7 linked regions of the Sus scrofa genome follow. The protein of the gene in region 1 purifies or fractionates together with the protein of each later gene. This does not show direct contact. Links are inferred from orthologs where the notes say so. Each region holds a gene or a part of one and is shown in the gene's direction. Other genes may lie near its edges. The genes, in order: RC3H1, CNOT10, CNOT11, YBX3, CNOT7, LARP1 and CNOT2.

Evidence for each region.
Region 2: the proteins of RC3H1 (region 1) and CNOT10 purify together in Homo sapiens (affinity purification with mass spectrometry, with the first as the bait; 3 studies listed by BioGRID). This does not show direct contact. The link is inferred for Sus scrofa from reciprocal best matches to the Homo sapiens genes RC3H1 and CNOT10.
Region 3: the proteins of RC3H1 (region 1) and CNOT11 purify together in Homo sapiens (affinity purification with mass spectrometry, with the first as the bait; 4 studies listed by BioGRID). This does not show direct contact. The link is inferred for Sus scrofa from reciprocal best matches to the Homo sapiens genes RC3H1 and CNOT11.
Region 4: the proteins of RC3H1 (region 1) and YBX3 purify together in Homo sapiens (affinity purification with mass spectrometry, with the first as the bait; 3 studies listed by BioGRID). This does not show direct contact. The link is inferred for Sus scrofa from reciprocal best matches to the Homo sapiens genes RC3H1 and YBX3.
Region 5: the proteins of RC3H1 (region 1) and CNOT7 purify together in Homo sapiens (affinity purification with mass spectrometry; 5 studies listed by BioGRID, with this or other methods). This does not show direct contact. The link is inferred for Sus scrofa from reciprocal best matches to the Homo sapiens genes RC3H1 and CNOT7.
Region 6: the proteins of RC3H1 (region 1) and LARP1 purify together in Homo sapiens (affinity purification with mass spectrometry, with the first as the bait; 3 studies listed by BioGRID). This does not show direct contact. The link is inferred for Sus scrofa from reciprocal best matches to the Homo sapiens genes RC3H1 and LARP1.
Region 7: the proteins of RC3H1 (region 1) and CNOT2 purify together in Homo sapiens (affinity purification with mass spectrometry, with the first as the bait; 3 studies listed by BioGRID). This does not show direct contact. The link is inferred for Sus scrofa from reciprocal best matches to the Homo sapiens genes RC3H1 and CNOT2.

Annotation. Positions count from the first base shown.
Region 1 is NC_010451.4:116,247,433-116,250,932, reverse strand, and holds part of RC3H1 (roquin-1), read left to right. Parts: intron 1-2,428; coding exon 2,429-2,629; intron 2,630-3,500. UniProt on the Homo sapiens protein: Post-transcriptional repressor of mRNAs containing a conserved stem loop motif, called constitutive decay element (CDE), which is often located in the 3'-UTR, as in HMGXB3, ICOS, IER3, NFKBID, NFKBIZ, PPP1R10, TNF, TNFRSF4 and in many more mRNAs.
Region 2 is NC_010455.5:18,699,449-18,702,948, forward strand, and holds part of CNOT10 (CCR4-NOT transcription complex subunit 10), read left to right. Parts: intron 1-991; coding exon 992-1,168; intron 1,169-2,348; coding exon 2,349-2,429; intron 2,430-3,500. UniProt on the Homo sapiens protein: Component of the CCR4-NOT complex which is one of the major cellular mRNA deadenylases and is linked to various cellular processes including bulk mRNA degradation, miRNA-mediated repression, translational repression during translational initiation and general transcription regulation.
Region 3 is NC_010445.4:53,074,816-53,078,315, reverse strand, and holds part of CNOT11 (CCR4-NOT transcription complex subunit 11), read left to right. Parts: intron 1-724; coding exon 725-889; intron 890-3,500. UniProt on the Homo sapiens protein: Component of the CCR4-NOT complex which is one of the major cellular mRNA deadenylases and is linked to various cellular processes including bulk mRNA degradation, miRNA-mediated repression, translational repression during translational initiation and general transcription regulation.
Region 4 is NC_010447.5:61,344,368-61,347,867, forward strand, and holds part of YBX3 (Y-box-binding protein 3), read left to right. Parts: intron 1-1,563; coding exon 1,564-1,653; intron 1,654-3,467; coding exon 3,468-3,500. UniProt on the Homo sapiens protein: Binds to the GM-CSF promoter. Seems to act as a repressor. Also binds to full-length mRNA and to short RNA sequences containing the consensus site 5'-UCCAUCA-3'. May have a role in translation repression.
Region 5 is NC_010459.5:4,940,094-4,943,593, reverse strand, and holds part of CNOT7 (CCR4-NOT transcription complex subunit 7), read left to right. Parts: intron 1-560; coding exon 561-722; intron 723-3,500. UniProt on the Homo sapiens protein: Has 3'-5' poly(A) exoribonuclease activity for synthetic poly(A) RNA substrate. Its function seems to be partially redundant with that of CNOT8.
Region 6 is NC_010458.4:68,396,106-68,399,605, reverse strand, and holds part of LARP1 (la-related protein 1), read left to right. Parts: intron 1-139; coding exon 140-284; intron 285-3,042; coding exon 3,043-3,152; intron 3,153-3,292; coding exon 3,293-3,420; intron 3,421-3,500. UniProt on the Homo sapiens protein: RNA-binding protein that regulates the translation of specific target mRNA species downstream of the mTORC1 complex, in function of growth signals and nutrient availability.
Region 7 is NC_010447.5:34,469,608-34,473,710, forward strand, and holds the start of CNOT2 (CCR4-NOT transcription complex subunit 2), read left to right. Parts: upstream 1-1,303; 5' UTR 1,304-1,398; coding exon 1,399-1,446; intron 1,447-4,103. UniProt on the Homo sapiens protein: Component of the CCR4-NOT complex which is one of the major cellular mRNA deadenylases and is linked to various cellular processes including bulk mRNA degradation, miRNA-mediated repression, translational repression during translational initiation and general transcription regulation.

The DNA of each region.
Region 1 (3,500 bases):
TATGTAACTCCACATACACTGTACTGGAGCTCTATAGGCCACTTCAGTTTTAGTATATACAGCAATGCTGGACATAGTCCTTTGTATCCCACAGTGAATCAGCACTACTTCAAACATTGGTGCCCAGCATGTACCATTTATTATTCATTCTGTTTTCAAGGCTTCTTGGCTTTTGACTCAACACACAAAACACGTACTTAGTGGGCCAAGGAGACATGTCTCAAAAAAATTGTTTTTTGTTTTTGTTTTTCGTTTTTTGCTTTTTTGCTTTTTAGGGCTGTACCCACAGCATATGGTGGTTCCCAGGCTAGGGATCCAGTCCAGTCGGAGCTACAGCTTCCAGCCTACGCCAGAGTAGGGAATTCCTGTCATGCTGCAGTGAAAACGAATCTGACTAGGAACCACGAGGATGCGGGTTTGATCCCTCTGAAAAATAAAGGGCTCAAATACCCCAGAACACCCAAAGTGAACCTCTCTTAATCCTAATTAAAAGTAATTTTAGTAGTAATTTTTAAAAGATTGCTATATGTAAAAATCCAGTTATTTTTCAATTGGGTCGTTGTTATTTCCCTATATTTCGTTGTCAACTTACTTTCTTCTCTTGGTGGTAGTTTGTACTACATTCTCAATAATGAAAAAATTCATCTTCTCTCATCGCAGTAGGTCCATACCCTAAACTTCACTACTGTGGCAGAGTCTACCAACGCCCATTTTATCTTCTTTATGGAACTCAGACAGCATTTTCCATTCTTTACCAGGTGTTTATGTCTATATAGTTGTGTTCTAGCTGTGTCTTTTTAGCATCTTTTTTATTGCCATTGAAAAATCTTTTCAAGCTGCAGGATAATTCTGGTCATTCTTAAGACATTGCATCTCTTGGAAATCTTTGAGTGTGTTTAGTTAAGAGTTTTGAGAGCCAAGTCCAGGGGATCACTGCATCATATAGAATGCTTATTCTACATTTTGATGAGGTTTAACCTGTATTGAGAGGGTGTTTTCATATACATACACATACCTTTGGTCTTTTAACTTATCTTTCAATGGGGTAAAATACGTTTAGCTTTTGTGACTATAGTTCTTGATTTTTTTTAAAAAAAAATTTGGTCTCTCTGTGGACTTTTACTAACAAAATTTAAGTTAGACTTTTTTGTGATAATAATAGAATACATTTAAAAATAATGTCATTGTGACCCAGAAGTCCTAAGTAAAATAGTCTGTAGTTTCTTTGATAAAAAGGAAAAAAAATGGAAATTTTCTGCCAGAGGAATTTGAGTCTTTGTGGGAATAAAAGATGGGCAAGGTAAAGTAAGTTGTAAAATATTTTAGGATATAGGTGATCTTGCACTAGAATGGATCATTTTACTTTGATTGAATAAGCCTTTAGCCTAAATCCAGCTTGACTCAAAATGTGTGATACCAATAGTACCTACCTCACCAAGTTTAAATAATTAAATGAGTTGGAGTTCCCGTCGTGGCTCAGCAGGAATGACGCTAAGTAGTATCTAGGAGGATAGAGGTTCAATCCCTGGCTTTGCTTAGGGGGTTAAGGATCCGGCATTGCCATGAGCTGTGGTGTGGGTTGAAGACATGGCTCAGATCTGGCATTGCTGTGGCTGTGGCATATGCTAGCAGCTGCAACTCTGATTTGACCCCTAGCCTGGGAACCTCCATATGCTGCAGGTGCAGCCCTAAAAAGTCAAACAAAAAACAACAACAAAACAAAACAGAAAGAATTAGATGAGTTAATATGTCATTATAACTTAATAAAGTAACCTAACACACTAACTGGCACATACTACATGCTCAGTGTCAATTATTTTTATTACCGAAAATAATTATTATTAAATTATTACAGCCCAGCATCTTAGAATGTGCCCTTTTTTTTTTTTTTTTTTTTTTTGACCACACTTGCAGCATATGTAAGTTCTCAGGCTAGGGGTCGAATCGGAGTCAGAGCTGTAGCTTCCAGCCTACACCACAGTCATAGCAACACCAGATCTGACTGCATCAGCAACATACACCACAGCTTACGGCAACGCTGGATCTTTAACCCACTGAGCAAGGCCAGGCATCAAACCCACATCTTCATGGATATTAGTTGGGTTCATTACCACTGAGCCACAATGGGAACTCTATAATTTGCCCTTTCTTATGGTGTCCTAACTTACAAACTCCATGGATAATTAAACCAAGTACAAATTAGTCATCTTTAGAATTATACCATCATCTGAAGCTCTTTCAGTTATGGTACCAGCTAGCTCAATACCAGGCAAAGTAATAAATCACAGATAGGAAGAAGAAACATTGTTTTTCAGAATTATTACGTATTTCCTTTTTCCAAAGGATTTTCATATCTATACTTATCATATAAAGTATAAACCCTGTTTGTTTCTTATCTGACTCTGGGGGATTACATGTGTCTTAATAGGTCACCAAACGTGATGAAGACTCTTCGTTGATGCAGCTGAAAGAAGAATTTAGAACCTATGAAGCTCTGCGTCGAGAACATGACTCCCAGATAGTGCAGATTGCTATGGAAGCAGGCTTACGAATTGCACCTGACCAGTGGTCCTCTTTGCTTTATGGAGACCAGTCTCACAAATCTCATATGCAGTCTATTATTGACAAGGTAGACTCTGGTTTGTTCTTCCTTCTTGAACTAATCTCGGAGTTTTTATTATTCATGATTTGGTAATTCATTTGTATATCAAATGCATATTAAAGAAAATATTGTATGTCAGGTCCTTATAAATTGTATTCACTGTAGCTGGGTGTCATGTCATAAGGTCACACCTTAACACTAGTTTGTTCATATAAAGTTTTTTTTTTTTTTTTTTTTGGTTTGGTTTGGTTTTTCTTTTTAGGGCCACACCCATGGCATATGGAAGTTTCCAGGCTAGGGGTCAAATCGTAGCCACAGCTGCCAGCCTACACCACAGCCACAGCAATGCCAGATCTGAGCCACAGATGTGACCTACACCACAGCTCATGGCAATGCTGGATCCTATAGTATCTGTGTCCTCATGGATGCTAGTCGGGTTCATTACCACTGAGCCACAACAGGAACTCTTTCAAATGGTTTTTTATTGAGGTATCTTTGACAATATTCATGTAAGATTTGATTTTGATTATGTTTCAGTCTTTTATCCAGTGCTCTGTCAGATTCCTTTGCGTCTCCCATATCTGTTTTATTATTGCCTCTCTCCTTTCTTTTGTTTTCTGAGTTTTGATTAGTGTTAGTTAAACCCGTTTTCAAAATGCCTTTTTTGTTTTCTTGGAGCAGCCATTTAATGGCCTGAAAGATGTCTGCATTGAGGTTTCTTCTCTTCTTAGCCAGAATGATTTCACATAATAAGTTACCAACCATTCTAGGTTTGATCAAATTTTCAGTAAAGTTATTTCTACTTTGTTTTTTGTTATGATGAAAAGATCATTTGAGTACACACCAATTTTAGGTCAGTGTCCACTATTTCTGACTCTTAGAGCTATATTTAATTCTC
Region 2 (3,500 bases), on another chromosome or scaffold:
TTTTTTTTGTCTTTTTGCTATTTCTTGAGCTGCTCCCACGGCATATGGAGGTTCCCAGGCTAGGGGTTGAATCAGAGCTGTAGCCACCAGCCTACACCACAGCCACAGCAACGCGGGATCCGAGGCGCATCTGCAACCTACACCACAGCTCATGGCAATGCCGGATTGTTAACCCACTGAGCAAGGGCAGGGACTGAACCCGCAACCTCATGGTTCCTAGTCGGATTCGTTAACCACTGTGCCACGACGGGAACTCCTGCAATCAGATTCTTAACCCACTGTACCACAGCAGGAACTCCCAGACTTTTTTATTATTATTTGCTATGGTGGTCTGTGATCAGTGATCATGGATGGTAGTATTGCAAAAAGAGGACTCACTGAAGGCTCACAATGATTAGCATTTTTTAGCAATAACGTATTTTTTTTCTTTCTTTTTTGGCCACACCCATGGCATATGGAAGTTCCCAGGCCAGGGATCAAATCCAAACTGGAGATGTGACTTAGGCCACAGCTGCAGCAATACTGGATCCTTAACCCACTGTTCTGGGCTGGGGATTCAACTGGCACCTTCACAGAGATAGGCCAGATCATTAACCCACTGCAGTACAACAGTAAGTTCTCTTTTTAAGAAAAAACACATTATTGTATTTTACATTATTATTTTTTTAGACATAATGCTGTTGCAGACCTAATAGACTACAGTATAGTCCTTTTATACCCACTGGGAAACCAGAAGATTCATGTGACTTGCTCTATTGAGATATTCAGTTTATTGCAATGGTCTAGAACCATACCCACAATATCACCGAGGTATCATCTGATAATATGTAGGATTTGGGTTATTTGGCATTCTCTTATAATTGCCAAAATTGAAATTTCTACCTATCAGAGGGCAAAGTTATCTATAGTTATATTGGTTTTATCACTGATAGTAGAAAAGTCTTATTTATTTTTGTTGTTTTCTCAGCTAACTTGGTTTTGTTCTTTTAAGTGATGGACAGTCTTCAGCCATTCCTGTAGCCAGCATGGAGTTTGCAGCCATTTGTCTCAGAAATGCCTTGTTGCTGTTACCTGAAGAACAGCAAGATCCGAAGCAGGAGAATGGCTCTAAAAATAGTAATCAGTTAGGTGGTAACGCGGAGAGCAGCGAGAGCAGTGACACTTGCAGGTACTCAAACCTCTTTGACCTCCCTGAGTGAGTCTGCAGGACTTCACTAGACAGCCTCCCTCCTCCAGATGAAGTCCCAAGTCCCAGAATCTACAGACTGAATTTTCAGAGTTCTCTGTTTTGGGTAAAAGGAAAATATGAATGTTTAAGTATTTCTGCAAGAGAGAAATAAGATGAAGGCTATTACTTTCTCCCTTTTTTCTTAACGTGTGTAAACCACTAACATCCAGAATATTTTTTTGTATGATTTTTTTTAATTTTTTTACAGGATATTTCTATGTATTTCTGGTTTCTTAGTATAAATTAACTATTACACCAATCTAGAAATTGAAAGACTTTAGTAATAAAACAAACACTGTTATATGTAGAAAGTTGTTTTTACGTATGGTACCTTTAAATTCAAATCTTCCATCCCAACATTTTTTCTTTTTATTTCTTTCTTCCTTTTTTTAAAGGGCCACACCTGTGACATATGGAAGTTCCCAGGCTAGGGGTCAAATCACAGCTTCAGCTGCCAGTCTTCGCTACAGCCAGCCACAGCCACAGCAACACCAGATCTGAGCTGTGTCTGCAACCTACACTGCAGCTCACAGCAATGCCAGATCCTTCCCACTGGGCGAGGCCAGGGGTTGAACCCGCCGCATCCTCATGGATACTAGTCGTGTTCTTAACCTGCCAAGCCAAAACAGAACTTCCTAGCATTTTTTTCCTGATTATAAAATAAATTCATGTTTATTATAGAAAATTTGAAACAAAGTCATGGAATTTTTTTTCCATCAAAGTGTTATGCTTTACTATAGCTAGTAAAAGACAAAAGAATGAGGAACAGGTGAAAATATTGGAGTGATTTCCTTTGTATAAGTAGAAATATTGTTTTCTGTTAGTTTTTTTTATTTTATCGACGTATTCACAATACTATGTTAGGTTTCTTTTTAAAATTTTTATTGGAGTATAGTTGACACGTTAGAGATTTTTTTAAAGCAGTATTATGTACCGGGGAAAGAAGATAATATACTGTATAGCTTTAACACGTAAGTGATACCAAGTTATTAAGTATTTTTTCAGTGTTTTGATTCTTTGCAGTTTTTTCACAAAAAATTACGTGGGTGTCAGTATAGGGAAACAAAAGTTTACATTTGATTGTTCATGCTTCATAATTAGGAGTCTGTCTTTATTTTAGCAGTAAAAGCCATGATGGAGATAAATTCATTCCGGCACCACCTTCTTCTCCATTGAGAAAACAGGAATTAGAAAACCTAAAGTGAGTATCTAAGCCAAGCTGGCATTGCTTCTATCAGAGTGAGCACATTCTTTATCTCCTTGTTTGTGTTAATATTATGAATTGCATTGATTAAATGTCAGATGTAAAACCAACCTTTCAATCTTGTGATTAAACCCTACTAGTCAGGATGTATTACCTTTTTTAATACATTGTTGAATTGGATTTGTTTATATTTTGTGGGGAATATTTGCTCCTGTGTTCCCAAGGATCGGTGGCGGGTGCTTTTCTTTGCTTAGGATGTCCTGCTTAGGCTTTGGTTTAGGGTTATGCTGATCATGTATGAATGACTTGGTAAATGCTTCTTCCTCTGTTTTCTGAAAGAGTTTTTTTAAGGTGGATGTTACTCTTTCCTCAGATGTTTAATTGAATTCACCAGTGAAACTATCTGGCTTAGGGTTTTTTCAGTGGCAAATTTGGGTAATGGATTCAGGTTTTTCAATAGATGATGCTGTATAGATTTTCTATTTCATTTGTGTCTGGGTAAAGTTATACTTTTGTCTCTGTGAATTATAAGCACCTTTTTTGTTTTGAACAGTCATACATGTATGTTAAAAGGAACAGAGTAGTCCTTTATGTTTAGCCATGTAATTACCGTTTCTTGATGATTCTAGTTCTCATGATATTTCCTTTCAGCCTTGAAGAGCTCCCTTCGGCATTTCCCACAGTACAGGTCTTCATTTTCCTAGTGTTTTGTGTTTGTTTGTTTTTCCGTTTTAAATCTAAAATTGTCTTTATTTCATAGTCATTCTTGGAGGATATTTTCACTGAGTGTAGAATTCTAGGCTTTATTTTTGTTTTTCTTCCAGTCAAGGTGTTACTGTCTTATCTTCTGGCCTCCATGGTCTGATCACAGTCATTGTATTACAGGTGCCATTTTTCTGTCAACATAAACTGTCTTTGTTTTTTGGCATTTAGTCTATAATGAGTCTGTGTGTGATTTTCTTTGTTTTTTAATCTTCCTGGGGGTTAGCTGATTAAGTTTACAAATTTATCTTTCAACAGATCTGGGGTATTTTTGACCATGATTTTTTCATAGTACTTTTGGAAGTA
Region 3 (3,500 bases), on another chromosome or scaffold:
GGATTCAGTCAGCCCCTGGTAGAAAATATTCAAGGGGCAAAAGAAATTCCAGAGAGTTCCAGAAAGCAAACCCTAAATTTTGGTGACTGTTTACATAGTATTTCCATTGTACTTATGTAGTATTTACATAGTACTTACAACTGTTTATGTATCATTTACATTGTATTAGGTATTGTGAGTAGTGATTATTTATAAAGTATAAGGGAGGATGCGTGCAGGTTCTATGCAAATATTACACCACTTTACTTAAGGGACCTAAGTACCTTTGGATTTTGCTGTTCACAGCAGGTCCTGGAACCGTTCCTATTTAATTACATTTGCATAAATAAATTTGATGAAATGAATCTTCAATTAAAATTTTGTCTTTAAAGAGGTGAGTTGGAGTTCCCGTCGTGGCTCAGTGGTTAACGAATCCGACTAGGAACCATGAGGTTTGCGGGTTCGATCCCTGGCCTTGCTCAGTGGGTTGAGGATGCAGACGCAGCTCTGATCCTGAGTTGCTGTGGCTCTGGCGTAGGCCGGCAGCTACAGCTCCCATTAGACTCCTAGCCTGGGAACCTCCATGTGCCACGGGAGCGGCCCTAGAAAAGGCAAAAAGACAAAAAAAATAAATAAAAATAAAGAGGTGAGTTGAGGTGGCAAGGAGCAAATGCTAATTTGAGCAGATTTAAGATAATTTTAAAAAATAACTATTAGAGAAATTGTTATACGTTTTTGTTTACAGGCTTTTTACCTCCTATAACTCCACCAGAAAAGTTTTTTCTTTCCCAGCTGATGCTGGCACCCCCAAGGGAACTCTTCAAAAAGACCCCTCGACAGATTGCCTTGATGGATGTCGGAAATATGGGCCAGTCCGTGGACATCAGCGGGCTTCAGCTGGCCTTGGCCGGTAAGGAGGGATCCTGCCTCAGGTGGTCTTGTGTGGTAGCATTAGGCCTTTTTTCTTGCGATGCTCCACTTAAAATGAAGGTCTTTATGCCAAAATGTATTTTCCATGAAAAGCATAGATTTGGTACTGGATCCTTGCTGTTATGGGATAGACATATCATTTTCAGTTTCCACTTGAATCGATTGCTTTCCTTATTTAAGAAAAATGCTGAATAAAACTTGGTCTATTTAAAATTTCCTGGATAACATTTCTACTCAAAGCAATCTGCAGATTCAGTGTAGTTTCTATCAAAATCCCAACGGTGTGTTTTGCAGAAATAGAAAATTCATATGGAACCTCAAGGGACCCTGAATAGTAAACAGTGCTTTCTTGGCTCCTTTGTTGAAAATCATTTGAATATATATGGGAGGGTTTATTTCTGGGCTCTCTTTTCTATGTCAGTTTGTCTTTATTCTAGTACCACATTTTCAGGCAGGGTAGGTCTTTTTTTTTTTTCTTACATGTAAAAAAGGTTTTATTTAGGGAGCTAGACACCAATCCAACAAGCCATACGGTAGCTTTTTTGAAATCAGTGTGTGAGATCTCCACTTTGTTCCTTTGTTTAAACATTTTGGCACCTTCTGTGTTACATATACAAGCAAATATAGAGGTGTTCTTGAAGCCCACTTGTGATGTGATGGAAAGTAACGGGACCAGAGTTCTTGTTGTGGCGCCTTAAGCAAAAGTTGAGATGCAAGGGTCTCATCGCCTAAGAGTGCTTCAATGGGGAAATTCTGATCTTTAGCCAGATCCATGAACCCATGACCTTGTGAATACATGAGCTTCAGGGTTAGTTTTGACAGCACACCCTCCTTCTTGGACTTCATGCACCTGTGACATTTGGCATTTTATATAAGGTGACATCTTTCAATAAACTTTTCCTTGGAGTATTCTCTTTTTTCCTTCAGGGTTGCATCCATGGAATATGGAAGTTCCCAGATCAGAGGTCATGTCGGAGCTGCAGCTGCCAGCCTACACCACAGCAGTGCCAAATCTGAGCCATGTCTGCAGTCCACACCAAAGCTTATGGCAACCCCAGATCCTTAACCCACTGAGCAAGGCCCGAATTGAAACCAAATTCTCATGGATACTATTTGGGTTCATTTCTGCTGAGCTACAATGGGAACTCCTCCTTGGAGTATTCTAAACCTCATTTTTAAACTACTAGTTTTTTTTTTTTTTTAATGGCCACATCCACAACACATGGAAGTTACCCTGCCAGAGTTCGAACCCTTGCTCCCAGCACCTCCAAGCTGCCGAAGTCATATTCTTTACCCCTGTGTCACAGTGGGAACTCCTAGATACTAATAATATAACAATTTTCTGTGACCAAGAGAAATCTTTTTCAGACTTTTAAGATTGAAGGTTGCATGGGTCTCATGGTTTGTGTAAAAGTGCTTATTAGCCACAATGCCAGATGCAGTCTATTTACAGACATAAAGCAACTGTTTCCTTAACCACAGGATGAAAACTGGTTGGAGAAATGATGAGCAATTTCAGTCCTACTTTTAGAAGCAGTGTATATTCTGAGGGTTCTGGCTTTGTATTCAATAAAGAATTGGATCTGATCTCCTTTTCAACTGTGATGACCGATCAGCCAATGCAAAACTTTTAAAGTTATGTCAAGCTGAGAAATAGGTGACCAGAATTAGGACGGAGAAGCCTGGCACAGCAGCTACCCTCTTAAGCAAAGAGCCCTAAGCTCTTTGCTGTCCTCTGCCCAGACTGAGGATGTCTTAATCCAGTCTTTTCACAAGTACTTAAGGAAAAAAAAAAAAAGTGCATGCACCATCTTCTCTGGCGCTGGCTACACAGCTGATCTCTACAGCAGCCGGCCTGAGATTCAGATGTCTTCATGGGATCCACGACCAAAGTGTATTTATGGCTGATGCGGTTGCATTTTCCTAATTCTCAGAAAACAAGCAGGCAAATTAAACAGAAATAAATACAAGGGGCAGAATTTTATCTTGTTAAAATTTCTGCAAAACACCTACGCTTGTACCACAGTGTGCCAATTTAAAAATGTTGTCTATATCTTGGTCAATAGTATGTTTCCTACCTTTTGTATTTCAGCAAAATGAGATAAAAAATTGCATTTTTCCTATGAAGTGAATAAGGTTAAACATCTTTTATGTCTCTAGCCATTTTTCCATTGGGTTAATGGTCTCTTAAAGCAGATCTGGAGCAGCCACCATTAAAATTGAGAAGAGCAATATTAGAGTTCCCCCTGTGGCTCAGTGGGTTAAGGATCTGGTGTTGCTGCAAGCTGCAGCATAGGCTGCAGATGCAGCTCGCATCTGGTGTTGCTGTGGCTATGGCATAGGTTGGCATCTGCAGCTCTGATTCCATCCCTAGCCTAGGAACTTCTGTGTTCTACATGTGTGGCTGTAAAAAGGGGAGGGGGAAGGAGGAATATTTTTAGGACCTAGAAGTTCCCTGTGCATTTCTCAATTACTGCCCTCCAGCCCCATTATTAACCTGAGTTTTCTGTTAATAGTTTGCTGTCTACTGTCTAGCCCTCCCTCTTGAGCATGCCTAGAGTTTAACCATGCTTGTTCCTGATATCTGTGTA
Region 4 (3,500 bases), on another chromosome or scaffold:
TGGTGGCAGCTAGAGTAAAAGGACTTCCCCAGTTTCTGCACTGGTGGCCAGCTTCATTTGCCTGTGAGTGTCTGACCTGATTCCAGCCCCCTGAGGTCGTGGTGAGTCACCTCCATGTGTTGAGACTTGCCCAGTTTAACAGGAAAAAGGGAACAAGCCGGCAGGGAGGGGCTGTTTTTGGAATGGCTGATGTTCAGGCTCGGTGCGTATATCCTGTCCAGAACTGCCTTCTTCCTCTGTGGGTGAGGTCTCTCTGCCCTATTGGCTCATTCTTTTTTTTTTTTTTTTTTCTCCCTCCTACTCAGAGTAAGGGAAGGGCTGGATTACACATGCCTAATCGCTTTATAAAATAAGGTTGACCTAGTTCCATAGAAACTCAGAGCCCCTTTAACTACTTAGAGATACCAGCTAAAGAAATGGGAATTCAGTGTAGAAATTATTCTCTTCCCTCCATTGATTGACAAAGAAAGGCCATTCATATACAGATATGTAGGTACAGCTGTTCAAGGCAGGATAATATCTTCATTAATCTTTTAATGTCTTATCTCGGGGTACATATAGGGATGAGGTGACATGTGAATGATGTGATGGGAAAAAGCTGAGTAAATATCATACAGTTACAGTACAGGGGAGTACGTTTCCCCACCTGCCCTATTACGCTTCCCCTACCTACCCTCCTCCTTCCCACCTTCTTCCCCAAGCCAGTATTTTTATAACCGCAGAAAAATCCACTTATCAGCCTCTGTTTGGTTCCCTTATCCATAAAATGGGAGAGAAGAAGAAGACTGTCAGTAATGTTTTTTTCTTAAGGTAATTTTGTATATTCTGTCAGAAATATTTATCCTCTTGGCATTTTCGAATTTTCTTTTGAGGTTAGCACTTTCTGCTGTCTTCAGACATTTCTAGCCCCAAAGTGTATTTTTGTCTTTATGTGTGCATGTAAGATTTCATGAAGGCATCCCCCCAGTCCCCCCCCCCCCGCCCATTAATGGAGGTGTAGTCTGGATCTAAGACGGTAGTGTGAGGGAATGAATCTATCCAGTATCATGACTGGGTGGTAGGCTGTGGCTATACGTTCAGTTTAATCCACCTACCAAGATGAATTTTGAAGGATAACATGAATCAATAAAATAATGTAAAACATAGTTTTTAGAGGTTTTTTGTTTTGGAGAGCCAGGCTAGTTGGAAGAATACTTTTTTTTAGGGCCACACCTGCGGCATATGGAAGTTCCCAGGCTAGGGGTCGAATCAGAACTGCAGCTGCTGGCCTACACCAGAGCCACAGCAACGCGGGATCCGAGCTGTGTCTGCAACCTACGCCACAGCTCACAGCAATTCCAGATCCTTAACCCACTGAGTGAGGCCAGGGATTGAACGCGCATCCTCATGGATACTTGTCGGATTAGTTTCTGCTAAGCCGTGGCAGGAACTCCCAGAAGAATACTTTTAAAAAGTAATATTAGATCAACAATTTCTTCAATATAGCCAGCAAACTTGAAAGCAGTGAAATCTGTGGCCGATTTTGACATATACTTCACTTAGAATTTTCTGTTCTTTTGACAGACTGCCATCAAGAAGAATAACCCACGGAAGTATCTGCGCAGTGTAGGAGATGGAGAAACTGTAGAGTTTGATGTGGTTGAAGGAGAGAAGGTGAGAGGAAATTGTGGTTGGATATCCTAAGGTTTCTTTCATAGTAAATGGTCTCTCATCAGCCTTGGATTTTTTTTGTAAGGCAGAAAGGTGTGACTTTTAAGTAAAAATATTTCTATTTATTGTCATTATATACATTGTTTGAGGTTGTATAAAAAAGAGTATTTTAATTTATATTTTAATAAATGATGACTATTATTTAATCAAAGAAGTAAAAGCTAATTTCTCAAGATTTAAAATGACATTTAGGTACCAAATGTATATTCAAGAGTAGATTAAAATTAAACTGTTTTATAGTGTTAAAAATAGATAAAAGCTGCTTTGGGGCCAAAGATATTTTTTTCTAAGAATAAAGTTTTTAGGCTGTGATTTGTAAGTGCTTCTACAGAGTTTCATGCTATTAGATATTTAATTCCAATGTTAGTAATGTCCTTTAATCTTTGTCCTTTAACCAGTGGTCTCTCATATATAGATAATCAGTAAAACAGTATGAGATAAGAATAGAAACATTTTAAAACTATATATGGTACAGCTGCCATGACAGCTAAGTGTGGCAGTGAAATTATGAGCTGAGTGACTGACTGCTTAATTCCTGTGTGTGCTCTTTTCACATACACACCATCCCATAGTCCATATTCTTAGCAGCTCTCGAACTGTTTTCTGGTTTTCTTTTTTTAAAAATCACTTTATTTCATCTAATACAGAAGTTTAAATGATTTCTTTACCACTGTGATCCCCAAGGTATCTTGCAAATCTCTGAGTTTCAAATTATCTACCAGCAAAGACTGATCTATAATCATCTGTCGTGTCCAATTCTTAAAGTTTTGTTTGGCCGGGGAAATTTTACCTCAGTATATTTTCATAATTTAAGGTTTTACAGATTGATGTAGAGTGGGAAACACACACTTCGAATCTCTTTTGTCCAAATGTTTTTGAAGCATTACTTGATCCATTTGTCCATGTGAGAAATGGAACGAAGGTCAAGTGTTGCAAAACATAAGAAGAAGGTTTAAAGAGGGACTGCATTTATGCCGAGTTCCTGTCCTGGCTCAGTGGTTAACGAACCCGACTAGTATTCATGAGGACATGGGTTCGATCCCTGGCACAGCTCAGTGGGTTGAGGATCTGGTGTTGCCGTGAGCTGTGGTGTAGGTCACAGATGTGGCTCACATCCCACATTGCTGTGGCCGGCCAGCAGCTCCAGCTCCAGTTCAACCCCTGGCCTGGGAACCTCCATATGCGCACAGGTGCGGCCCTAAAAAGACAAAAGAAAGCCAAAAAAAAACCCACAAAAAAAACAAAAAAACCAGGGGCTGCATTTGTGCAGGCTAAGTCAAGGGCCCTTCCTTCCTGCTGCCTGGATGGGAGAAGTTTTCTCTTACCATAGCTCAATGCTGGACAGAGCCATGTGAGCCCTTGAAGGGACTCTTAGTCTCTCGTAGAGTGACATAGCTTTCAACATTTTCTAGATAGAGAACATGGTTATTTTCCAGTGAGAAATGTTCTTCCTGGTGTAGCATTACTTCCTTTACAGTTGCATTCTATTTACCTTTTATGTTCTCTAAAGAGCCACATATTGCTTTTGACGCAAACAAGAAAGCAAAGGTTGTGGAAGCCAACAAGCTATATACATTTCAATAGCGACATCAGCTTGCTCATCTTATCAAAACGTGGGTGTGTTTTTGAGGTCACAGTAGGCATTTCGAGTAGGTTCTGCCCCTTGTTAACGTGCTGGCTGCCTAAGGTGGTGTTTCTGGTAGTTAGTTTGGCATCTTTTTAATTCCAAGGCTGTCTTTGCTTCTCTTCCTTGTCAGGGTGCAGAAGCAGCCAACGTGACCGGCCCGGAT
Region 5 (3,500 bases), on another chromosome or scaffold:
GGCCATTTGAAAGGCTCATCGTTAGAGGAGGCATCTCCTTTTTATTTAAGATAGAATGTAGTTTCACTCAGTCACATCAGATGCTTCGCATTTGGTCTTCTTCCTGGTACTGCTGAGAGCCTGGGAGTTGGACCCAGGCCCTCACCCCTGTGGCTGCGGCTCCATTTGGCAGCATTAAAGTGGCTGCTGAGACCAAAAACCCCTGATAGGAATGTGTCTGTTACTTTGTGGTGGTAATGGCTGGTGAGTAGAAGACACTTTTTTTCCCCAAACCCAGTTAAATTTATTTAACTTGTGAACCGCTAATGAAATTGATAGTATAGATTAAAATCTTACCATTGGATTGTTCTGAATGATTATTATTTACTGTATGAACATTTTTCCACAATACTTAATGACCATTATATTTAAATTGTATTTTCACTCCATATATGCAAAGCTTTGGAATTAAACGCCAATCTTCTCTCTCGTTACTGACATTACAGTTTTAGATGTAAATGGGAGAAAATCAGTTTGAAGTATGACACTTTTGAATGTTGTCTTTCTTTTTCTCCTGCCAGGGAGGACATGTATGCCCAAGACTCTATAGAGCTACTGACAACATCTGGTATCCAGTTTAAAAAACATGAGGAGGAAGGAATTGAAACCCAGTACTTTGCAGAACTTCTTATGACTTCAGGAGTAGTCCTCTGTGAAGGGGTCAAATGGTTATCATTTCATAGGTAAAAAGATTGCCTTGAAAGTGGCATTTGTGTTACCATTTCCTGATTGCTTCACACTTGGTTTGGGTCACTCTGTCAGCAATTTCAGGCTTAGTTCTACAAAGTATTGGCTGCCATATAGCAGTCTCTTAACTCTCCAAGCTAATTGAAAAGTTAATTTAATGATATGGGATCCATTTTAGGCTGTCAAAGAGATAGTATTGCATAGTCGAAAGAGGGCAGGCTGGAAAAGTAGACCTGGTTTAAGTTCAGCAATCCCAGAGTTCCCTTCGTGGCTCAGCAGTAATGAGCCCAAGTAGTATTCATGAGGATGCCAGTTCAATCCCAAGCCTTGCTCAGTGGGTTAAGGATCCAGCATTTCCGTGAGCTGTGGTGTAGGTCGCAGATGTGGCTCAGATCCCAAGTGGCTGTGACTGTGGTGTAGGCCAGCAGCTGCAGCTCCGATTTGACCCCTAGCCTTGGAACTACCATATACCACTGGTATGTGGAAAAATATATATTTTTTGGTGAGGTGAGGGCCTGGGTCCAAAATCAGTCGATCGATCCATCCCTCCATCCAGCAGTGCCATTTGGAATCTGTGTTACCTAGGGTTATTTAACATTTCTAAGCCTTAGAATGGAAACATTTATTCATTTTAAAAGTATTTATTTGTTATCCTTCATATGCCAAGCACTATGATAATATTCTAGGAATTAAGCTATGAACAAAATAGACTAAAATTTTGATTTCATGGAGTTCACATTCTGGTGGGAGTAGACAGACAAGTTTTTTAAATGATGAACGTATATTTTAGTTTGTTAGGTGGTGGTAAATGCTATGGAAAAAAATTGATAAAGAGAAAGCTAGAGGTGTGTGTGGTGGATTTTAATTTTTTTAAATAGGATATTAGGAAGAAATACTTAGAATTAGCTTAAATTGTTTTAATGATCAGTAGTGACATATTTAAAGCATCTAGTAAAGTGCTCTACACACAGTAAATTCTCAATAAATGGTAGTTTTTAATTCTTATCATACAATTAGGTTGTTGAGAATTTCTGGAAAGGAAATTCTATTTTGTATAAACAGACTTTTAGCTAAGAGAAAGAGTTTTCCTATCTAAGTAAACTACATTAAACTGGCAACTCAGGGACTAAAAGTGCTTCGGGAATGATTTTATTTGGCCTTTTGTTATGTTTTTAAAATGCATTGAATTATGCAGGTATTAATATTCTCACACTTGGTCTACTTTAGCATTTAAAAAAAAAAAAGTTTCTGCATGCTGTGTATTTCCAGCACTGGCCTCAGTAATAAAAGACTAGTGAAGGACTGTTCATACCGTCAACCTCAGCGTAGTACTAAGCAGTCATTTTTGAGCTGGAGTATTGAACTTACTCATATCCACCTATCTTTTTTTCTCTGTTTTCCTTCACTTGAGTCTGTACCTCAGGAAATGAGGCTTAAGTCTCTGGTAATTTGAGGGATGTTTTTTGAGTTCTTTTTTCACTTCCCTAGTCTTGAAGATGCAAAAGAACTGGAAAGCATTGTCCTCTTTTTAACTATGTATGATAGTTCTTTCATTCAAAAAATAGTCTGAGGCATTACTTTGTTTTAGGCATTGGAATATTAAGATGAATAAAAACAGGGAGTTCCCTGGTGGTCTAATGGTTGGATTCAGCAGCCTGGGTTCAATCCCTGGTCTGGGAACTGAGATTCCACTTAAGGATGCCTGTCATGGCCAAAAAAAAATTTTTCAATTTTTTTATAAAAGATGAACAAAAACAGGGGTCATGTCTTGAATCTAGGTTTGACTATTTGAGTATTGTCAAGATATGTAAGATTTCATTCTCCTAAATGTCATTAAATATTTTCTTCATAGTCTTATTTCTAGTAGATAAGGACTTAAGAAATTTATAAATACTAAATTCTAAAACAACTTGTTTTTACCTAGTAGTAAGCAATATATTGACTTGTATTTTAGGTAGATAAAGAAGTTACTTTCTTGTCAACTGCCAGAAATTTAAAGGTTTCTAGCGTTTGTTTATACCTTGATATTCCTTAATGGTCTTCAGTATTAAAAATTTGTTTTTCTCCGTGTTAAGAAGTATAATTCTAAACCTTGAATAGAAATTTATTTGTAATCTTCCTTTAAAAGATATCTTAGTAGCATCTGTCATCAAATATTTGAGTCCTAACTAAATGGAAAGTTTTTTTAAGATGTGATACCTCCCTTTAAACGCATGGAGAAAACAATACCTACGCTTTAAAGGGTGATAAAAAAGAACTTGTCTGAGAACTCTGTGGGAGCTGAGCTCTTTAGGGAAGGCTTCGGATAGAGGTCCTTAAAGGTAGACAGGGAGAAGGAGGTGCGATTGTGGGGGAAATGTGGGGCGATATAAACCTGTGGCGAAAGCTAAACAACAGGAAGAGGAGATCTTGAGAGTGGGGAGTTTTTTATTCTCTAGTTAGTAGTTCTCAGCTTTTGCTACCTTCCTTCTTTCATGAGCAGCATTCCTATCTCTTGGGGATTGAGATAGGAACAGAATTTTGAGTGAAGAGAGTACTTATTAATAAAATCACTTAAGGGAAGTGAAAATACTTTGTTAAGAATTACACTCTGGATTTTTGAAGTATGTGACCTCTTTATATAAAAAATGGGAGGATATGCATTAATTTTTGCCTTCTAAATGCCAATTCTCTATCTTTTGGCTTTTTTCCAAGTTTCCATTCATCTTTAATTTTTCAGATGTTTGCTGTGGACAGCTTGATACCCCTTAGAAAGTTCTCTATTTAAGGATTAC
Region 6 (3,500 bases), on another chromosome or scaffold:
ACCTTCCCAAAGACTTAAGGGGCAGGTGATGAGTGAGGGAAGGAGAAAGGACTGATGTCCTTGAGTCCCAGGATCATTTGTCCCCATAGCACAGGCAGTCCAGCCCTAACACAGTCTTTCCTTCTTCCTCCCCCATCAGAGCGGAAACGCTTAGGCATTGGCCAGTCTCAGGAGATGAACACTCTCTTCCGCTTCTGGTCTTTCTTCCTCCGAGATCACTTTAACAAGAAGATGTATGAGGAATTCAAGCAGCTGGCTCTGGAGGATGCCAAAGAAGGCTACAGGTGAATGGGATCAGGGGTGGTGAGGGGTCCCTGTTGGGTCTGCTTCCAGAAGTATAATTGGAAATTTATTGTGTATATGCTTCATACTCTTTATTTCAAAAATGTATTACTTTTGTGTGGGTACTACATTTACATGATTGAGAACTCAAAGAGGTCAGAAGGTTACACAGTAAGACGTCTCCTCATCTTAGTTCCCCAGCCAGCTGGTTCCTTTTCCCACAGCCAGCAAGTACTGTTAGAATCTTGTGGATCTTCTCTAAAAAGGGAACTTTGCTTTATAAGTTCCCTTGTGGCTTGGTGAGTTAAAGATCCAGCCATGTCACTGCAGCAGTTTGGGTCGCTGCTATGGCATGGATTGGCTCCTTGGCCCAGGAGTTCTTGTTGTTTTGTTTTGTTTTTTAGGGCCACACCCATAGTATGTAGAGGTTCCCAGGCTAGGGTCTAATCAGAGCCATAGCTGCCAGCCTACACCACAGCAACATCAGATCCGAGCCATGTCTGCGACCTAAACCACAGTTCATGGCAACGCTGGATTCTTAACCCACTGAGTGAGGCCGGGGGTCGAACGCAACCTCCTGGTTCCTTATCACATTCGTTTCCACTGTGCAAGGACAGGAATTCCTGGCCCAGGAGTTTCTAAATAAATAAACAAAATTTAAAAATGCAAGTACTTTGCTTATTATGTAGGCGAGGGCAGACCTATGTAGTCTTCCACACACAACGTTTCACCCCTTTTGTTTACACAAAAGATGGTCTCTTTTGGATACTATTTTGTAGCTTTTTGCTTTTTTACTTATTTATTTATTTGTTTTTGGCCGTGCCCACGGAATGTCTAAGTTCCTCGGCCAGCAATCAAGATTACACCTGAGCCACAGCAGTGACCGGAGCCACTGCAATGACAACACTAGATCCTTACCTGCTGTGTCACAAAGGAACTCCATTGCTCTATTTTAGAGATCATTCCATATCCATGTATAAATAACTTTCTTCTTCTTTTTTATAGCTCCTGTGGTCTTAGACTGTATGGATATACAATAATTTACTTAATTATAGACTGTTAGGGTGTTTTGGCTGCATCCATGGCATTCAGAAGTTCTGGGACCAGGGATTGAACCTGAACCACAGCAGTTACAATGCCGGATCCTTAACTCTGTGCCTCCAAGAAACTCCTAACCAGTCTCCTACTAATAGACACTTGAGTTGGTTCCAATATTTTGCTCTTTTAAAACAACAAAAAACTTTTAAAAAGATACTTTTTTTTTCCTCCCAAGTAAAATGTTCTCTCTGTAAGCAGTTTGTAAAGGGATAGCAATATTGAAAGAGCTGGGAGAGAAAGATGCCCTTCAGTCCAGAGACAACCAGTGTTAATGTTCAGTCGTATTTCGTGTATTTAGATCATGCATTGAATGCCTTTTTTATTTATGTCTTATTTATCATTTAAAAGAATGAGCGTTTTTCTGTGTCTTTAAGATATTTAACTTTTTTGTCTTCCTAGAGAAGACAGTCCATGTTTTTGCTGGAAGTTTAGAAAATAGAGTTAAAAAAAATTTTTTTTTTTCCTTTTGCTTTTTGTGGCTCCCCCACGGCATCTGGAAGTTCCCAGGCCAGGAGTCAAGTTGGAGCTGCAGCTGCCAGCCTACAATGCCACAGCTACAGCAACACCAGATCCAAGCCTCTCTGACCTACAGTCACACACTGCGGCGACTCTAGATCCTTAACCCACTGAGCAAGGACAGGGATCAGACCTGCTTCCTCATGGATACTAGTCAGATTCTTAACCCACTGAGCCACAGCAGGAATAGTCGTGTCCTGTCAGACTTTGTACACGTGCAGATATAAAATACATATTTGTTTACAAAAATGGACATTCTACATGTAACACTTCTCATTATCCATCAATGTATATTTACATTGTAATTTTTAATATATTTTGTTGTAAAGAGTTAACATGATTTTTCTTAACCACTTCTGCAAGACATTTAAATTTTTTTAATGCTTCTATGAGTAATTTTATACATCTATAAAATTCTAAATTTTGGTCATTTCCCTGGTATATGTTCCTAGAAATGAAATTTCTGGAATTCCCGTCGTGGCGCAGTGGTTAACGAATCCAACTAGGAACCATGAGGTTGCGGGTTCGATCCCTGGCCCTTGCTCAGTGGGTTAAGGAGCCGGCGTTGCCATGAGCTGTGGTGTAGGTTGCAGACGTGGCTCGGATCCCGCGTTGCTGTGGCTCTGGCGTAGGCTGGCAGCTACAGCTCCGATTAGACCCCTAGCCTGGGAACCTCCATATGCCACAGGAGCGGCCCAAGAAATGGCAAAAAAAAAAATTTCTGAGTCCAATAGATTAACAAAACTCCTAATTGGCATGGTCACATAGCTTTGCAGAGGGCTCATATCAGGGATTGACAAACTTTCCATAAGAGATACACAACAAATCTTATTAGGCTTTGTGGGGCATAAGGTATCTGTTGCAACTGCTCAGCTCTGCTCTTGTAGCAGAAAGCAACCAGTGTGATACTTCATAAGCAAGTGGGTATGGGTAGTAGGCTGTTAACTCATTTAGCCCAAGTTTGCTGGTTCTTGACAGACATTTAGATTCGCCTTTAATGTTAGCCTTCTCAAAGAAGGCTTACCATTTTCTCAATCCACTTGTTTAAACTGTTTCATAGTTTATCTAGAATCCAGGTACAGTTCCTGTTTTAGATAAAAAAAAAAAAACTGTGTCCTGGTTTTACTGACTTGTATTCTCCTACAGGTATGGTTTGGAGTGCCTTTTTCGATACTATAGCTATGGCCTGGAAAAGAAATTTCGGCTGGACATTTTCAAGGACTTTGAGGAAGAAACCGTGAAGGACTATGAAGCTGGTAAGAGAGTTGAGGCTCTTTGAGCCCTGGTCATCCTGATCTTATGTTCTCTGCCCTGCACTCTGCCTGGTCTGTATCACATCACACCTCCCTCTGTCAGCCACCCAGCTTCTCTCTACCTCTCTCCTCTTTCCCTGCAGGCCAACTCTATGGGCTGGAGAAGTTCTGGGCCTTCTTGAAATATTCCAAAGCCAAAAATTTGGACATTGACCCCAAACTTCAAGAATACCTCGGCAAATTCCGTCGCCTCGAAGACTTCAGAGTAGATGTAAGTGGAAGTCTCTCATCTTCCCCACCCTGGTTGTCCAGGAAAAGAAAACCGGACCAGAGATCAGGATACCTGTGTTC
Region 7 (4,103 bases), on another chromosome or scaffold:
GGAGTGTAGGTTTTCATTACATGATATTTTTTTTAGTGACTGCACATGGAGGTCCTTGGGCCAGGAGAGTGAATCCAAGTCACAGCTGCGTCAGTGCCAGATCCTTTAACCCACTGTTCCTTAGTGGGAACTCCTTATTACATTAATTCTTTTAAAAACTTAAATCTAATAACACTAATTTTTAAAGTTTTGTTTTCCTTGAAAAATTTTTTGCCTTCTTACTAGATTGCTTTTTAGAGGTAATATATTTGTATATGTATTTGTGTGTTGATCTTAATAAAAATGATTTGCACTTCTTATGAATTTAAATTAGATGTTTTTATTTTCCTCTCCCAAAGTGAATTTTGTCTGATGTTAAATAATTGCTCTAAATTCGATTATAATTTTTAGGAGTTAGCAACTATTGTTAATTCACTAGGTGTATATACTATATACTCCTTCATTCGGGTAAACATTTTACTAAAAGTTAGGAGAGTGACATTTGTCTTGAAAATATTTAGAAATTTTTTGTAGGTACCACTTTTGAATTTTTGATCTTTCATTTTCAGTTTATATTTTTGAGTTAGCATCTCTAGCAACTATTACCTCTGTTTCGGTGATCTTTTGATGCCTGAGGAATACAGTGCCTAGTCATTTTGGATTTATTTCTCTGACCAGGTTAAGAAATAAGCTTCATTATGTTTCTGCCCTAATGTAAAAAAGAAAACTCTATTAAAGCATGCAAAAAATTGGAGAATTGAAGGACCTAGGAATCTAGAAAGTTGACAGTTGTTATTACTCTTCATTGGAGTAAATTTTAATAGAATATTGACTTAGGTTTGCACCTGTTAATCATCCTAAGATTATATGATGTATTCCCATCTTATGGCATAAGAATAAACTCCATAAACTGAATGAAGGGGGATTTGAAATTAAATGACTGAATCTGAATTAATTGGGTATTTCTAATACTAACAAATTGTTTATTTAAAAAAGGTAATGTCGATTAAGGGCTTAACTTTTTTGTCCACTCCATTTTTATTCACTATAAGTTTCTTCCTATGTGTGAGGTATGTGGCGAACAGTTTTAATAGGAGAGAGTAGAAGTGGGAGGGAAAAGTTTTTCATGCTTAATAATTTCTGTGTCAAACAAAGTATGTCTGGCAGTCTAGCCCTTCTTTGATGGTTAAGAGGAAGATCAGTTAGGACATTAAAAAAAAAAAGTTTTGGTTTTGTTTTCTTTGTATCATATTGGTATTTTTGGTACTGTTCATATATTTTACATGTTAGTAATTTTGATGGCTTTTGGATAATTCCACTCTAGAGGGAGAACTGGTGGGCGGTCCTTCCTGTGACACGACCCTTGAGTGACAGTTCTATTTGATTGCCTCCAGTACTGTGAGGAAAGGACACGACTCTATGGTGAGGACTGATGGACATACATTATCTGAGAAAAGAAACTACCAGGTAAGATCAATTTTATTTTGCTTTCTTCTGTTGGTCACGTAATTACATTGAACTGTTTAATATGTTGTATTTAGGAACCAGCAGATTGGATAGACCTCAACCTGAAAAATGTGGGTTATAATTTTTTAAATGATATATGTATATATATGGCTTAATAGTTGAAATAGTTTGGAACATTTTTCATAATAAAGCATACTTATAAGAAATGTGTATTCTTTTAGTGTCAGAACATAAATTTTCTCCTGTGTGTGTATATATGTCAAAACTTAGATTATCTGATGCACAATTTTTGACTTTGTGGCTGGATTCAGACCTAGTATTTCATAAAATAAAATATTGATTGCTTTTACACGTATGATTCCTGGAAGACTAAAACTGAAGTCTTAGATTATATTGAGGGTACTAGAGCGTTACAGAAATGTAGACAAAATTGGTTAGCATTTAGAAGAAATAGAAATGAAAATTCAGGGTGTTCAGAGACCCAGATTCTATTGAATTGTCATTGGCTTGCTGTTCTCATAATTTCTCATTTATTAAGTTAGTTTATAAATCCATTCCCTATGAAGTATGTAAGGATGCTAATACGATGGTTGAAGTGTAATATTTTTGTTTCTTTCTCAGCTTATAAAAGAAGGTGAATTTTAAAGATAGTGCTATTAAATAGTGATTTCAAAACCCATAATATTTGAATTTAGTTTTTTCAAAGACATTTGGCTTTATTCATTTGACAATAATTTAATATCAAATTATGTAGTGATTCAGAATACAGAATAGTTCATAGCTCAAGTAGGGGTAAGCTTCAGACTTCCTGCACAGGTACCTATCTAACCTCTCCCTCTTCCACTTACCAGTTTTATTCCCTCTAGGCTGTGAAGGCAACTAGTCTGATAGTAGATGCTTTTGTTAACTAACCATTTGTCTTTTAATTATTTATTTTGGCACAATTAGTCTTTTCTTCCCTCAGATTGGAAGAGTGAACAGTGAAGAAAATTGTAAATGGTGAAATAGTAAAGAACCTTTGAGCATAATACTTAGGTTCTGGTTTGGGCTCTGTCCTAATACAAAATACTGTCATATTTAACCTTTGTAGAATTTGACCTAATTTGATGTCTGAAGTTTCTCACCAGATTTTTATAATTTTAATAAATCAGAGTAAGCTATGACTATATAGAATCAGTTCTCTCTGTAACCTTTTCTGTTCTGAGTTGTTTTTATTGGCTCAAGTGACGTGGCCTTTGCTCATTACTTGTAGCTCCTGCCTCAAAACCGCTTCCATCTACCTTGACTCATAAGATTTTAATTGGTTACACTGCTTGGGCTATTATGTCTTTTGATAGAATCTGCTAAATTACTTTAAGAAATTGTGATTGTGCATTATGTGGCTTTTAAGTGTTTATAATCCAGTTAATAAAATGTAAGTATAGAACTTTTTTATGATCATATGGTATGGTTAATTGACTACAGAATCTAATAATAGAGAATTCCAAATTTTACACATTAGAAAGGAATAAAATGAGATATTTTACACATGAAGAGATTTCCTAATTTCTGTTCATTCTACTCTAAAAAAATTATTTGGAATCACACTATTTCAGTCACATTATTTATAAATAATCCAAGTGTTTTTGAGCTTACCTGAAAATGCATTCATTCTTGGTTAGGGTTTTTCTACCTGAAAATATTTTTCCTTTTCTTTTTTGTGTTATGTAGTTATGCATGTTGAAATATTCCTGAAAACTGTTCTTTAAATTTCCATTGTAAAATTATTTTATTTTTAAAAGCCTCCTCTGAAAAGTGAATGTATAGGAATATAATTTGCTGTCTGATAATTATGAACATATTAACAGCATATGGGAAATTTAAAGGAATATTAGATAAATTTCTAATATTTATATTGTTAGAAGTAGGATTTGTATATGCAGAGATGAAATGATTTGGGTTTTTAAAGATTTCATTTTGGAGGAATTTTGTTGTTTCTCATGAATAAAGTAGAATTTCTTTGTATCCGTGTATACTCATTTTACGTTTGAGGCCTTTTGTTTTTGGAGGGTGCTTGATGTCTTATAGTGATATTTAAACATTCTGATAGTATAGGCTAATATTCCGGAGTTAATAAGAATAATATTTTTCCAGTTCTTATTTCATTATGGACCTGATTAAAGACTTCAGAATTAATTTGGGAAGGTGCATTCCCTCAGCTTCCTGCTAAGAGCTGGTGACTTCAAATGGATGTTGGTTAAAGTATTAATTTTTCTACCATTATCTATTTCATGTTTTTTATTTCTTACTGTACGTTTAAGCCCAGTTAAGTTTTTTGCGTTTGAGTAGAGTAGTTGAAGTTTATTTGTGTATATAGACTGGTATGTTAGTCTGAACTAAATAGTTCAGACAAGTTAATTTAATTATATGAATGGTTTATAGTTCATTCTTTTTTGTAAGAATTGTAAAGCTTCTGCCAAGGGAATGTAACATCAGTTTTTGTTTAGAATTTTCTTATCTTCCTCTCATTTACACTGATTTATTCCAGCTATGAGCATGCATAAATCTAACCATATTAATTGCCAGATAACTTATCAGTGTTGTCTTTGTCTCTCTTACATAATAAAGACTAGCTCCTAAACATTACATATAAAATCTTGCCACATTCCTATGCCACA